Linked DNA regions of Drosophila melanogaster. The protein of the gene in region 1 purifies or fractionates together with the protein of each later gene. This does not show direct contact. Each region holds a gene or a part of one and is shown in the gene's direction. Other genes may lie near its edges.

What was found.
Region 2: the proteins of Acp1 (region 1) and CG4962 purify together in Drosophila melanogaster (affinity purification with mass spectrometry, with the first as the bait; one large-scale study listed by BioGRID). This does not show direct contact.
Region 3: the proteins of Acp1 (region 1) and Cpr62Bc purify together in Drosophila melanogaster (affinity purification with mass spectrometry, with the first as the bait; one large-scale study listed by BioGRID). This does not show direct contact.
Region 4: the proteins of Acp1 (region 1) and mol purify together in Drosophila melanogaster (affinity purification with mass spectrometry, with the first as the bait; one large-scale study listed by BioGRID). This does not show direct contact.

The regions. Positions count from the first base shown.
Region 1 is NT_033779.5:7,739,923-7,743,163, reverse strand, and holds Acp1 (adult cuticle protein 1), read left to right. Parts: upstream 1-1,626; 5' UTR 1,627-1,682; coding exon 1,683-1,688; intron 1,689-1,806; coding exon 1,807-2,208; 3' UTR 2,209-2,602; downstream 2,603-3,241. UniProt on the Drosophila melanogaster protein: Component of the cuticle of the adult fruit fly. Could be involved in thickening of the hard adult cuticle.
Region 2 is NT_037436.4:16,294,145-16,297,392, reverse strand, and holds CG4962 (uncharacterized protein), read left to right. Parts: upstream 1-1,845; 5' UTR 1,846-1,909; coding exon 1,910-1,921; intron 1,922-1,984; coding exon 1,985-2,344; 3' UTR 2,345-2,682; downstream 2,683-3,248.
Region 3 is NT_037436.4:1,839,721-1,843,839, reverse strand, and holds Cpr62Bc (cuticular protein 62Bc), read left to right. Parts: upstream 1-1,755; 5' UTR 1,756-1,835; coding exon 1,836-1,850; intron 1,851-1,947; coding exon 1,948-2,079; intron 2,080-2,652; coding exon 2,653-3,048; 3' UTR 3,049-3,559; downstream 3,560-4,119.
Region 4 is NT_033779.5:14,994,350-14,999,544, reverse strand, and holds the start of mol (moladietz), read left to right. Parts: upstream 1-1,985; 5' UTR 1,986-2,029; exon of another isoform or gene 2,030-2,831; intron 2,832-5,195.

The DNA.
Region 1 (3,241 bases):
TGGGGGCCAATGGTCATTAGATCGAGTTAATTGGTACAAAGCCAGATCATATGCACGTATTGGGCCACAGGGCGTATGCTTAATTATGCAAACGCTTAGCGCTAATTACAAATCGCACAAAGACCAAGTTTCAATTTTAGTCAGCACCTGGGCTTCTGGTATAGGAAAATAATTGGCACATGGAGTAAATTATAGTAGTCGCTAATTACAGATTATCATCGCACCGAAAGAATTCAACTTGAACTTTTTTGGTGTTTTTGGTGTCTCAGAGATTTTGCCAAGACTCGACAATCGATCTCACCCACATTAGCATCGAAACAAGTTTTTCCCCTCATGCAGTTTTTTTTGGGCATAATTGAATTGTCTTTGCTGGGTTCAATTTGCACTAAAGTCTGACTTAATTGCGGCACCTAATGGGTTTGCGATATATTTATGTGGGCTGTTCCGGGCTGCAGTAACCCACGCTCCAGACCCATTTCAGACAATTGAATGTTGCGCAATGTCGATTCCATTAGGTAATCGGAGGTGGAAATAATTAGGGAAATAGCCTGGAAAAGCGGATTAACCTGGAATGCCTTTCAGCTGTGTTAATTGCAAGTTTTGGTTAATTTATAGCCAACAAGCGGCTTATGCACACACGAATTTGTAGATGTCATGAAACGAATTGCAAACTTTTGTCTCTTGGATTCGAATTCTAAATAGTTACACTAGTCCAATTGATTATAATCTACTTTTTGTTATTCGGCTTAAAATTTTAATATTAACTCTTTAAAATATTAGAAACAGATTTATAGATCAGTTCTGTTCAAATGGAATAATATATTTCAGCTCTTAATTTTCCCATAATTATATTTCAATATCGATCGATAAAGTGGGCTGTTCCTCGCATATCATTAACCCTTAAGACACATAAATCAGATATTAGCCGGCCTTATACAGGATACGGATCGCTCCATAATTGGAATCGTGTTATAAATCATACTGAAATGCTAATCGCGCACAAACAACAATTAAGTAATTAAAGTGGCGGTGTGATGGAGTGAAAATCAACTTACCGGAACTGCAGCTGAAAAGTGGGTTGGGCCATTCACTTAGACAGTTGGACCCACATGGCCACGGAGATGGAAACACACTCACTGAGAATGCATTTTCTGTGGTGGTGCATGTTTGAGTGGTGCGGAAATAGAGGTTCACTACCGAGTTAGTTCATTTTTGAGAGGGTTATTGTTAAAAACCCCACCTTAAAGATACAAATTAGGTAACCTAACTTCTTGTCACAATCCTCTCTTCTTCATTTATTTTTTTATTCTTTAGAAAATAAATGTACGTATTTCGATTAGTACAATAAGCTAATAACAAAGTATTGTAGATGTAGAACTAGTTCTTGAATTCAACCGCTTTGAAGGCGTTCAACCTAGCCGTTTGATCCGATTCGATACGATACGATCCGTTCAGATCCGAGGCATGTCATTACAGCTGATCATATGCATGCGGAGCAGTGTCAGCCGTGTCCACCATGTCATGGTGTGTGAACTCTCACTTTCATGAACCCTCCGACTTGGCGGTTTTCTATTGCTGATGTGGTCAGCAGTTGGGTATAAAACTGGCCGGCAGCTCCGTTGACAGATCAGTTCAGAACAAGAGTTCAACCAGAGCGCAACCCAAAACCCACAAACAGCACCATGAAAGTGAGTTATCAAACGGATTTATCCTGATAATTAACAACAACATAGCTTGGATTAATATTAGTAATTCAACAAGGAAGTTTTACTCATAAGACTAAACAATATATTTTGCATTATACAGTTCGCCGTCGCCGTTATCTTCACCTTGGCCCTCGCCATGGGCGTGCAGTCGTCTGTGATCCCCCTGCTGTCCCAGGTGGCTGGACATGGACTGTCCTACACCGCCGTTTCCGGACCCGCTGTGGTGGCCTCTCCCTGGGCCGTTCCCGCCGCCCACTGGCCTGCTGCCGTGAACGTGGCTTCGTGGCCTCCGGCAGCGATCCACGCCGCCGCTCCTGCCGTGCTTGCTGCCCCTGCTCCCGCTGTGGTTGCTGCTCATGCTCCCTCAGTCGTCGTGGCCCCAGTGGCTCACAGTGGCGTCTACACTGCCCAGACCCGTGGTGCCATTCACACCGCTCCTCTGGCCGGACACATCCAGTCGGTGGCCTCCATCAATGCCGCTCCCGCACCCGGAACCTTGTAAGGAGTATACCGCCTTCAATCCCTTTGTCGATCGGACCATTGCCTCTGCCACGGATACTGCCATTGATGGGGAAGTCGAACTTTAGACCCCTCAACACGTTATGTAAATACATTGTATATATAGCCATATATAGACAGGGTACTCGCACCTAGCACCTGAACAGGATCCTTTCATACCTGTCCCGAAAAAAAGGAGTCATCAAAATTCTCTTCCGACCTAAGCACCCGGCCACGTTTGTGGTTGCCTATTTCTCTCGCTTACCTATTTATTTAGCATACATTTTCCAAGCATCCTGTGAAAAAACCATCACAAGTTTTCTTCGAACGGAATGCCAAGTGCATTCTGGAAGGAAATGCTTGTACATCTACATAATGCCAATAAAGAAAATGTAACTAAAGTATAAACGTTTTATTTTGGGAAATGTGTAAATAATATTGCGAAGTTGGGAATATTAAATACCCACATATAAATAAAATTGCGACAAATTAACATTATTGCTAACAAATCTTTGATGGTTCCTCATTATAATTTTTCCGCTTTACAGAACATTACATAATATATATTCTTCGTTTGATAAAGCTTTATTTAATGATAATGTAAGTATACAAAGTTTGTTTTGGTCAAGCCAAAATTAAAATAAATAGATGTTGCCTGACAAATTCCCACAGGCTCAATCTATTAGTATACAAAGCCCGTTCGCTCTCAATATATTATCATCGCATATTTACGCCTCCGAATACAATTAATTGACTCATTGCCTCAAATTGACACTACGCTGTTTGCATGCAACCCCTTCCTCCATAATAAAGTGTGATTAGAGCAAAGCCATCGGATCGAATGCTGAAATGTCAAGTTCATGCGCATGCGCAAAGTCCCCAACTGCGTTCAATGCGAAATCCAGCCACAAATCAAATGGAATCAACCCCGCACTTCCTTACCCCCTATATCTTTCGATTTGCTATAGCAGAGTCCAACTGTTGCGTGATTTTCCCCTCCCACTTAGCCAGCCCCTTTTTTTTATTTTTCCCACTTT
Region 2 (3,248 bases), on another chromosome or scaffold:
AACTCCAGACTTGCGACTTGGGAAATTTCCTTAACCAGAATGGGGCGGACAAATTTCAGGTCCGACTATTTCCCCAGAAAAATCGCATAAATCACGAAAGGAAAAAATATTGAGTTGAGCCACGAGTTGAGTTGGAAAATTGACGGCTTTTAATTTCGACTTTTGAATGATTTGTTGGCAATCAAAGTATTTTGGGCGTCGCTTGGGAAATGCGAATCTGAATCAAAATCGAATGTATGCATTGGATGGACGTTGCTCAATGGCTAGCAGACAAACAGAATGCAATTGGTAGGCCATTAAAATGCAATTACAGGCCACCAGAGTTTGGTGGTCAGCTGCAATCGGAACCAGCACGAATAAAACCAAAAATCCAAAACAACCGAGTGGGTGGCATATTTGGTTTTGTAGCTGCGGATCGATAGATAGCCACGCAATTTGGCATCCTGTTTGGTGTCAATCAAGCCGCCTTCGATTGAGATTTATGCGACAATTTGGTTAGCATTTGCATAACGCCACGGGTCGAAATCACGAGGTGTTGGCTTTGGTGAAGGGTTCGGCTTAGTTTTAGATTCGACTAGCACTAAGCCCCGTTGATATGCAGATTGTCCATTTGGGGTCCAATCAGCAACGATGGCCAGGGTCGCTGAGTCGAAAGAATTGTCGCCATCGTAATTGTTTATTAATTTATGACTCATAAACTTTAAGTCGGTCTTTGTTCGCCCTGAGAGAATTTCGATTTTTATACAACTCTTTGATTCAATACACCGATATTCAAGGCTCAAAACAAGCATTTTGCAATTCTTTTCGAGCCTCGTGTTCTGACTGATCCCGTGATATGATTTCAAAGCTGTTTCAGAATTAAGCATGGCTATTAGGAAATCTGGCAGGCCATTCGAAATGCGGCAAATATGATTTACCTATGTTTCCAATTGACTACGCTCCTTCCACCCAAGTTACGCATACGCCATGTGCGCGATAACAAATCAGTTAAATATTAATGCATGCAAAATATAGGCAAACCAGCTGCCGTCCAGCAGCCACCAAAATGACCAACTGCACCAATCTCCACTCTGTGTTTGTCAGTTATTAAAGTGAGTAATTTTTCATGGACCACTTGAGTTTATTTGCTGCGTGGAGAGGCAGCTCCGATTGATCATTTGCATCTGGACAACAACATTTTCCACACCTACGGATCTCTATATCTCTAATGAGCTGTCAGTCAGTCAGTCAGCTGATTGATAATAAAGTGCGTGTTTTCGGTTTTAGAAAGGATTTAGGCAGATATGCTTAATAGGCTTGCAGGCTTATATTTAAATAATTTGAACACGTGAATTCAACGGTTTTGAATAAAACACAATATTCATAGATAAATTTAAGTGCTCTTTCAAAGGAAATGTTACTTAATGGCCAATTTAGATCACTGGAATAATTGCAAAATTACTAATAGGCAAAACCAGATTTAGCCGTAGAATTTTCTCAGCTGGAAACCCCCAGAAGACAATTGTTCATTTCCACGACGAAATGAATGGAAATATAAAAGTTTCCGTTAGAGCAAAAGTCGCCGACAATAGCTGACGAAAAAAATACAAATTGAATTAAGTGCTCGTGGTGGTTCTCCATGAAAATCTTGGGGATTCGGTGGCTAAAATTGGCGGTGGCTCAGTGGCTCAAGCCAAAGCCGCCGCGTGACTGATCTCTTTCGCGATCTGCTGGTCGGCAAATGCACAAAGCTTCGGCTCTCGGCCGTCGAAAGGGGCGTGTTGGCTCTCCCTCTCCGCCGCTCTTTGGGCCAAGATTTGTCAGAATATTTCTCATGTTGCGGGTATAAATAACAGGGCTACTTGAGACGTCTAAGCATAACACATTCAGCTCTTCGGTCAAGAAGTCCAAACAACACAAAACCAGCAAAATGTTCAAACTGGTAAGATCAGGATTAAAGGATTACCGCTCGTATGAAGTTAACATAGAAGTTTCTTTTCCGCAGATTGCCCTCATCTCTGCCCTGTGCGCCGTGGCCAATGCCGGAGTAATCTCGCCCTACAGCCATGGATATGGACTGGGATACGGCGCCGCCTTGGCTCCGGCTTATGCCGCTCCGGCTGTGATCTCGCACGCCCCGATCATCAAGAGCTACGCCGCTCCCATTGTCGCCCACCCGGTGGCCACCTCCTATGCCAACACCTACAAGGTGGCCACCAAGGCCATTCCAGTGGTCCATGCCGCTCCTCTGGTCCATGCCGTGCCTGCTCTGCACTCCACCTCCACCTACCATGGATCCTATGGCGGCTACGGTAGCTACGGTCTGGGATACGCCGGCTACGGACACGGAGCCTACCTGCACTAAGGATCTGGATGTCGGAAAGGATACCAGCCCCCCGTTGACGACCCCGATTGAAGTGAGAACATTAAGCGGATAATTCGCATTTTGCTGCCGTCAAAGTGTTGAATTTGCATTTCGTAGTCAGAAGCGGAAATACAAATTGTGTACAAAATCCCTCAAAAACCCAGACACCCACTTGGAGACAGAGACAACTAGAGAACTAAGGACAACTAACGGGAGGCGGCGAGAGCGAGAGAGATTGATGAAGGATCAAGTTTCGTTGATTTTGTTATTATGGTGCAACTCCATGCATTGTGGCTTCATAACATTTTGTAAATAAACGATAAATGACTCTTTAAACGAATATGATGGCTTATTTCATTTACTGGTTGCTTATATATGTTAGTTTAAAAATATTCACTTGAAATTATGACGGATGGATATTTAAGATCCATATCCAAATATGCCTTACTACACACAATTCAATGAAATCTTTACGATACCTAACGTTTTGGAAGCAATATGAATTTTCAGAGTAATGTGGAAATATTTTAATTTGCCGTTTTAACACACACACATTTCGCAATGTAAGCCACTTAACTCAAAACTAATTGTTAAGGGGACAAATGTCTATTTATGAAGTGTGGAATTATTTTCAATTTAGTTTAGTTGAGCGTGAAGTGATCAGTTTTATTCGCATTTATAAGGATTCCAGATAGTATTGCTAGTTCGTAGATGCGAGCATTTCACAAAAAACTGCTTGTTCAATGATTTTCAACTGCGAACTTACCCCAACCATCCGATCGCCATTCAGCATTCAATTGCACTTCAAATTAATTTTACTTGAGCAACTTGCTCGATTCATATCGACTCCCGTCGGGTGTTTTGAAACTTGCAAGGAAAAAACCAAATACCAAAAAAAATTGTT
Region 3 (4,119 bases), on another chromosome or scaffold:
AAACTCAAAGATGCAGTTTGAATATTTAGAGGGGTATATCATAAAGGGGGGATGGGAAACTTTAAAGAAATATAATTAAATTCTAAGGAAGCTCATTGTCTACTTACTTACCAACTAACCATTCCCAACTGCCCATTCTACGAAAATCAACATGTGTAAAGTAATCTGGACTAACTTTCGGATAAGTAAACCCTCTTTTTTAACTACGCCCCTGCTGAGATTAAAACTGTTAGTGATCCGTTACACGTCGTTTGCTGCTGTGTCGTGCTAACCTTGAGATGATTACTTCAATTTGTAGTACGCGATGGCCAGCCTGGCATAAATGGTGGCTCAGAGGGGGGGGGGGGGGGGGGGGCACCAAAGGGGGAATGTCAGAGCCGAGCTACTAATTCGAGACAATTTATTAAATGAGTCGAAGCAGGGCAAGTACGTAGCATAAGCCTGGCGCAAATATGCCGTAAAACAAAGCAAGGCAGCCCTCAAAAATATGACAAAACCAAACGCTTTTGCTTTTTTACTGTTCGTAGTTTTGGCCTGGTAATGAGTTGGGGCTGAACTGGCGTCTATTTTGGCCATAATGATGTGGCGCCACGCTGCGCCCCACTTCAAAGGCGTTTCTACAGCGTCTTCGGGTGGTGGCCTCCCCATAGCACACCCCTCTTGTCTTTCCCAGATGGGTTTAATAAGCAAAACGGCCTACATGGCAATTAAAAAAGTGTCAGTAGGAACAACAGTCAGTGCACTGGAAAACAATTGAAGAACAAAGCCACTTGCTGACTTTAGTTAAAAGTATTGCAAAAATATCTCAAGATTTATGGGATTTCATGAGTCAGTAGCTCGTTTTAGTGGAATGATACCACTGATGTTTTACTAAGACTTCGAAATTAATCTACAATACCTCAAACCATTTTTGGCAGTGTACTATCACATTAACCAAAAGATTTGACAGACGACGCCCGCTGCAAGCAAAATAAGGCACAGAAAACGTAGAACATAGAAAACTTCGACTTGAAGCCCACGAAACAGACGAGCGAACAAATTGCAACATGCAACAGAAAAAAACCATGGGGATTTTCAGGAGGGGGCTGCAACACCGCCGCCCACCGAAATGCAATTTTAACTTATTTCAGCCATTGTCTTTTTATTTCATAAATATTTGTGTTTACGGCTAATTTTATTCGTGCGCGAAGATTGTTTTTGCTAGGTAGTTTAGAGCTTGCAAAGGCCATTTCAATTAAATCGTGATGGGAGATGGTAATATATAGATAGCCAACTTTTTTCCGATCATGATTTCATAATTAATACGCCTTAATAATGGCCAATTTGATATGTTAATACGAGTATTGATTTCAGCAGATAGAACTCGCATTAAGTGAGGTTTTCCCTTCCATTTCACAATTATTTCGACTTCGATTTGCATACATCGCCGGTTATCTCAGAAATCAGACAATTTCCAAAGACAAACCACAGCCAGCCAACAGTCGCTCCACATCTGAACTGAACTTCACTCTCGTTTTTTTTCGCTGAAAAGCATTAAATAATTGTGAATTGTTGGTGGGGAAGGGGGGGCGTTGCAGGGGCGTTGTGGGGGCCTCAACTTCTTGGGCTTCGCTCCGCAAAGCTCGGCTTTGGCTGGTATTTCATTGTAGTTTTGTTTTTGCCCCTGCTGACCGACTGGCATTCGGCTTTTTGTGACTCGGCTCGGTTTGGGCCGCTCGGGCGTTGTCTTGTATATAAAAGCGGCTTCCTTCTTGGTTCTAGTTATCAGTTGAATCCAGCTCAACGTACAGCACACACTCGCGTCTGCAAGAAACAAAATCCCAAAAATCCAAACAATGGCATTCTTCAAAGTGAGTGAACAGGACAGCCCTGTGACAGCCAAAAGTGCCCTGTGATCCAATCGAAATAGCAAACTAATAAAACAAACCCCTATCCCCTGTGATCTAGTCCCTCATCTGCCTGGCCGTCCTGAGCGCCGCCTCCGCCGGAGTCCTCCACGGACATGGTGCTGGTCTCTACGCCGCCGCCCCGGCCATCTATGCCGGCCATGGTCACCACGACGAGGGAATCGATTACCATGTAAGTGGGCAAGATAACCCAAAAAGGATTAACTTTCAAAGTAGCGCATATGAGGATTACTAACTCTTAAAGAAAATCAATGTCCTACTATTGGAATCCATTTGACTTGTTTAAAACATACATTTTGAAAAGCTTCCTCTTAATTGAAAATGTGCATCATGAGTTTATTGCTCTTTTAAAATCAAACGACTACAATACCATCCAGAGCTAAGAAATGCATGCATCTTGACTCATAAAAATTACTTATACGACACGTAATCCCTCCCGCAAACATTACTCATACGACCTGTAAGCCCGAAAAAGTTATACAGCCTACCGGCTGTTCATGCAATCATAAAATTATACTTAATATGCCCTAAAACTGACACCATCAGTCCGCACAACCTCTCACCCACTCCTCTGTGGATGCTGGTGGCCCAGGGTCACTGTGGCATTTGCCATTTAGCCATTTTCCCACGCTAGCTTCATTAGCATGGCCAGCTGCTTCGAGTGGCGTGTGGCATGCACATAAAATTAGCACCCAATCCTAGCAGGCCCGTACTCTTCTCATGGAATCTTTACGCCAATCCGCAGGCCTACCCCAAGTACCACTACAACTACGGAGTGGCTGACTCTCACACCGGAGACGTGAAGTCGCAGCACGAAGTGCGTGATGGTGATGTCGTCAAGGGATCCTACTCTCTGGTGGAGCCCGATGGTTCGGTGCGCACCGTGGAGTACACCGCCGATGACCACAATGGCTTCAACGCCGTCGTCCACAAGACCGGCCCCACTGTGCACCACGCCGCTCCCGCTGTGGTTGCCCACGCCGCTCCCGCCGTGGTCCATGCCGCTCCGGCCTATGCCCCAGCCATTGCCCACCATGTGGCCGCCGCTCCCGCCGTGCCCTACGCCGGATCCCTGGCGCATCAGGTGCCCGCCTACGGATACGCCACCCACAACGCTCACGCGCATGTGGCCCACTACTAAGGAAGTGGAGCAGTCCGCTGGATGCACCACCTGAAGCACCACCTGCACCGCTAACACCACTCTTCTGTAATTTATTAAGCACGTTGACGACCTCACAAAACGGCTGATCGATCCACTGACGAAGCCTGCTAAAATACTCAGTACCACAGTCATGTCCATCATGTCCTGCCGTGGATTCCCCGGACTTTCCCGGCAGCCTCTGTCTCCCTCACACACACACACACACATTGCCGTCTCTGTCTCAGCTTTCGCGCAATTCTCTCTTTTGTTTGTTAATCAACCTTCTCTTTAATTGTAAATAATGAAAACATCGAGTGAGGAACAAACGCCCATCCTGCCACACGCCCACGAAGAAGAACCAACCTGAAAAGATGAAGAAAAACGAACAAAATGTAAAAAAAAATAATAAAAAAAAACACATGTATTATAATAATTTTGTGTATACTATAAGTTTGAAGCTGAAACGGCTGACAATGCTATAAATACAAAATGTAGAGAATTATAAAAATTCAAATATTTCGTTTTTTTACTGCACAGAAAGGAACTGAAAACATAGATTGATCTTTAATTTGATTATTCTGTTTTATCTTACAATTAATTAGTTGATTGGCATTTCTGATCAGAACACATTCACTTTCAAATTGATTCCAAGTATGGGTAATTATGGTTTCCATTAGTTATGAATGTTATGGAAATTGATGGGTAGAGAGCACTTCGTCGAGATCACGCCACTTGATTGACAATAATCGATCTGGCTAATTTGTGGGCGTGGAGTGAAAAAGGTGAAGGTAATCATCGGCGGTTGATTATCATTTGATCCGCCAATAACCAGTTGGTGTTTATTAACTGATTATTTATCTGCAGAAGAACTATGCCATCTGTACTCTGGCAAGACGTGCGCTTTCATAATAAGATTCGCATCAGCATTCATATGAAACTTGAAGCTTAAATATAAAACTATATATAGCCTTATGTATCTGGAATTTGCATTCATAGAGTTTTCTTAATTTCCGATTTAAGGATATTTCACCAGATGCACTACTCGAACTCATTAAATGGGCTTTCTTTAAT
Region 4 (5,195 bases), 7.3 Mb from region 1:
TATTTTCATTTAAGTCTTAAACGGTAGCCGCATTATGCGTAGCTCAGAAGTTATCTCCTCTTGTCGAGTGATTAATTTTAATTTTTTTTTTTCGCTTTTATTGCTGAATAATTTTTATTTACTGCTTGCAATCGATAAATTTTTGTTGTTCGAAAAAGGGCATTTCATGTTGGCCATTCCCGTGCGGCCTGCAGTCGTTGACCGCTTTGAACTGACCTTGCCGCGCGAATTTTCGTTAATTTCAACTTTGTGGTCACCGCTTTGCTGCACTGGTCCGGGATGCTGTTGTTTATGTTTTTCAGACTTTTCTGGTTTTTATCGCCCATCAAGGTGATAGGTTTGCATATAAATGACGCTAGAACAAAAGACTTTGGCGACGAACTCGTGGTGACTAAACATGTGTACGAATTCACTGTGAGAGCAGTCAAAAGAATTGGTTTGCCCCAAGATATTTATTTTAATGGGAATGAATCATTGGACTGCGTAGCGGAAGTTTATTCGTAGCTAGGGAATCGATTATGATGAAGTCCGTTTGCCAATAAGCAAAAAAAAAAAACTAAACACCAGTTTTAAAAACCTTTTTCGAAGCATTTTTAACATAAAGTAAATATTTCAGTAGTTTAGATACTTCCTTTATAAATTGCATGCTGTAAAAATAGTTATACGACTTTAGAAGTTTTTCAGCCAGCTTTAAGCACCACATTTTTTTCCAAACACAGAATAATACTTTTTTAAATCCAAAGACTAAGTACATCGGCTAAACTCTAGAGAGCCTTACGTATAATGAATTACTGATTTTACAGCAATATTTACATTTTTGTTTATGTATGTTTTTATGGCTAATTTTGCACATCATAAAAGATTCACTACTAAGGCAAAGACAACAAGATCTAGCATACTGCGGCTGAAAAGTGGCTTTGGCGTCGACCAGCCAAATTTGCAACTGTCGAGATTCACAAGTCGGATGGATTGACTGGACATAAACAGAGATCACGGAGGCTAACTTGGTGATTTGGCTTGGCGTTGGTGCGTGGCACGGTAGTCGCTAGTAAAAATTCAATTAGCAAATTAAATATTAATTACCAGACGGGTCTCTATGCTAATTGAATTAGCAATAGTAGCAGCTGGCAAATAACTAAATAAAGGAAAAAGTATTGGGGGTTTTTAAGTTGGAATGCTGCGAAGATGGAGTTTTTGAGGATTCGTTTTAATATTATCCAATATTTGGCACCTATTTTTTCTGACATAATTGTTTAAATTAAAGAATGTTGTATGAAAAGTGGAAATTGCAATTTAAAATTTGAAATTTTGATATTATAACGATTGCATTTTTGATTATACAATGCAATTACGTTTCATTAAGTTTTATTTTGGTTTAATAATAAATGTCTCATTTTAACATACTACCTTATAAATAAATCTTTTGTTTTTATGTCCAGTAATGCATTATACATTAATATTTTAAGTGGGCCTTAATTTATATCAACCAAATTAAAATGTCAGATGATAAAATTACGTTTGAGAGTTTTATTTTGTTTCCTTTTTTGTAACAATGCAAGTTCTAATATTTTCGGAGCACAGCTGTTTATACTAATATTATTTCTCCTCGTGACAGGTGCCAATGCTATTCTCGCCCGGCTGATTAAAGTATATAATTTGCCGCTCGGCTGTGAATTTAGTGTGAGGCCAGGCCCAAGATGAACCAGTTTGCGGTTGGAAAGTGTGGCAGCCTAGAGTCGGACAAGGTCCCTGATCAGGAATAGCCCTGGCGATATAGCCCAAGTTCCCTGTCGGATTTTTTGATATTTTTTATTTTAATAATTTTTTTTTTGATTTTCTGACTTTCCGACATGACTGCTTCATAAATTCACACTCACTTAAGCCTGCAATTAGCGGTCGAGCAAAAAGCTCCCATCGCTTTGGAGCTTTGGCGCTCTGTTGCTCTCTTTTGGGAAGGTTTTGTCTTTTGCTCACCGCTCTCGGCGTTCAGTTGATCGACGGCAAGCTCTCGAAACGGACGCAGATTTTTGTAAGTCGCCGCCGCGCCTGCGCATTTTAAATCAGTTGCAACAAAAAAACAACGAGAGGCAGCGAAGACGAAATCGAATTGTGTTTTTATTTGTTTGCTTTTGTTTTGTCTGTGTGTTATGCCATGCACAAAACCACCGTGTTCGTAAAAGTGGAGAAAAATCAAAAATCGAAAATTCAAGCCGAAATAAGTTTGCCAAAACAAAAAGAAACCGCAAAAGCCGCGTTATAATAACGCAAATAACGGTATTAAGTTTGAAGCTCATCTAGTTATTTATGCTTTGCTCCTCGTGGTTGTCTGCAAAAATAAAACAAAAAAGCTTAAAACAAACAACAGTGTCGAAAAACCTTAACAATTTGCGCGCACATAAAATATAATTAAAGCCAGCAAATTTTTGCCTTAAACATAAAAAAGTTAATCAACTTGGTTGCAATTAAATGTTGCAATTTATTTTTTTGCAACTAAAGTGCGAAATATTCAGTGCAATACAATAACAAAAATAAATAAGTTTCTCTGAAGCAATACAAATAAAAGTTTCTCTGTAGAAATATAAATAAAAAAATACCAAAATCCATATTATCAAAAATTCAATAAGATATGTAAATAAATAGTTTGGTATACTCAAGCAAAAATAGAATGCTGAACAATGGATAATAAATTATTTATTTTTTTGGGTAACAAACTGATTGCCGAGACTTAAAAGACACCGAGAACTAAAAATAAAATATGATAGATCAAACAAAAAAATTCCCAAACATCTAAAGAGGGAGTCCGCCATTCCTCAAACGTATGTGTGATGGGTGTATGTGTGGGTGGGAGCGGGAAAATTGTGTTGGTAATTTCTAATGCACATTTTCCCTTTAGTATTACCCAACACAATGTTTTATTACCCTTACAGGAGTAACAGGAGTAACTAAACCTTTGATATTTCGATATTTATTAAAACATGAAAAAGAAAATTGATTATAACAACTTCCAGCAATTTTAAACCTTTTTTTTGTATTTTCCGCGAAAGCGTACATAAAGAGCGTATTTTTTTTAATACCCCTTCCTTTTACTGTATTTTCCTGCCTGCCCTTTTAGTTGTCGTTGAATTTGTATGACGTGTGTGCATCAGGTTGATTTTTGTGATGCGTTTTGCCTATGTAATTTCCATGTCAGGCGTTGGGATTACTTCATCTCCCGTTTCATTTCCTATATGGCCAGATGATTCAAACCAAACTGACCAGCGCAAAAATGAAAACAAAAACTACTGCTACAAAAAAACTAAAAAAAAAAGTTGCACGAAAAAGCCGGTTGAAGGCAACTCTTACATATTTACACGCACCAGCGCTCATTGAACACACGCCGCCAGCAGCAACAACAAAGCTAGCACGGGAAAAAATTGTTTTAAACAGTTACTAATATTTTTATTAATATATTAGTAAGGATTATATTGATAAATAACAGTACTACAAAAAGTAATATCAAGATATTCATAATATTCATATATGACATAAATCATACAATTCCGAGTAATTATTTTCTCTCACTGCATTACAGCAACAGCAACAAAAGCAATATCAACAGGGCGACACAGAAACCTGTTGTTGTAGCTCTTGGTGCCTCTCTTGCTGTCTCTGTCTCGTCAAAAGACATTTGCAGAGTTTCCAGCTGCGTGTTGATTATGTCAATTTCATGTTTACTTCATTTCCTCAATCCACCGGCAAAGGTGTTAGAGAGAGGGGTATAGTGGGCGGAAAGGGGTGCGCCAGCAATTTCACTTTCGTTGGACTTGAAAATAAAAGCTGCAGTCTCTGTGGCAGTGTGAGCGAGTGCGAGAGAGAGAGAGAGAGAGAGATTATTGGAGCAAGATGGAAGGAGGTTGGAGCTTGGGAAAGAGAGCAAGTGAGAGTGAGAGTGCGCACAGCAAGTGTGCTGCATACGGTACTTGGATGCTGGTGCTGCTGATGCCTCACTTGCTTTGTGGGGCGTTGCTGCACCGTGGGTTATTGCTATTTAATGTTCTTGAGCATAAAATTGTGGATCGTGACTTTGGGCTCAGCAAATAATTCGTTTCACTAATCCGTATTGTTTCATATATAATATATTTTAAAAACCAGGTGACTAGTCACAATAACTAACTAACTGACTAGTTACAATAAAAGTTTTACCCAATTTTTTCAGATATTATGATGAAATCTTAAAAGAAGTGATACCAATTAGAATGGCTAAGCTCTGAGATATTTGAAGATTATTATTATTATTTTTGTTTATGAATTGTTATACTCTCAGTTTTCATATTTGCTTGAAAAGTTAGTTTGTTGATGTTTTAAGAACAATTATATGAATTTTGCAATGTTCATACGTCAATATAAGGATTATTATGTTACCATCCTTTTAATAACTGTACCACTGTGCGCCGGCGTCTTTTGTGTGCTACTCGTCGCATATTTTCCGTTTCGTTTTGTAACTGTAATGTCTGTTTTTCCCATTGTCCGATTGTTGCTGGTTGTCGCTTTTGTTTTGCGCTTATAACGTAATAACGTAATGTGCTCGAAGATTTCCACATGCGATGCGTCGCACCTTACGTTTTGGTGCCAAGTCCATCGCCGACGTCGACGTTCATTGTTTTTGCAGGCAATTGAGCCAATAAACTGACGCGAATCGTAGCGACTTACAAATTCCTGTCCGAAAAATATGCGAAGGTCAACCAGAGGGGCAGCACCAACAACCACAACGATATCGAATCCATAACAAAATAGTTGAGAACTCCCGCAAGTGGAGTTTCATACGAGTATGTTTGGTATTCGCACCTTCAAACATGATTTCACGGACTGTCAGCTTGGCAAAAATTCTAATTATAAATGAAACAATTTATTACCGGGTTTTTAAAATAAAATGCAATTTATGTGCAAAGTCTGGCGGCGGCGGCGGACTTGACTAGTTAAACCGGTTGACTGCCAGCAGCAGCAGCAGCAATGAAAAAAAATGGAAAAAGAACCATTGACTCAATGGGGGTGCAGTCAGCAACAGCAAATTGCAACTGCAAGGAAAACATTTTTCTTAAATATACGGAATTAATTAATAGAAGTTAAACAAAGGATAATTTCTTTAATAAATTCTAAACATTTATTTATTACGGCAGTGGTGAATTCGACAAAAAAAATTATAATTTAACCAAATG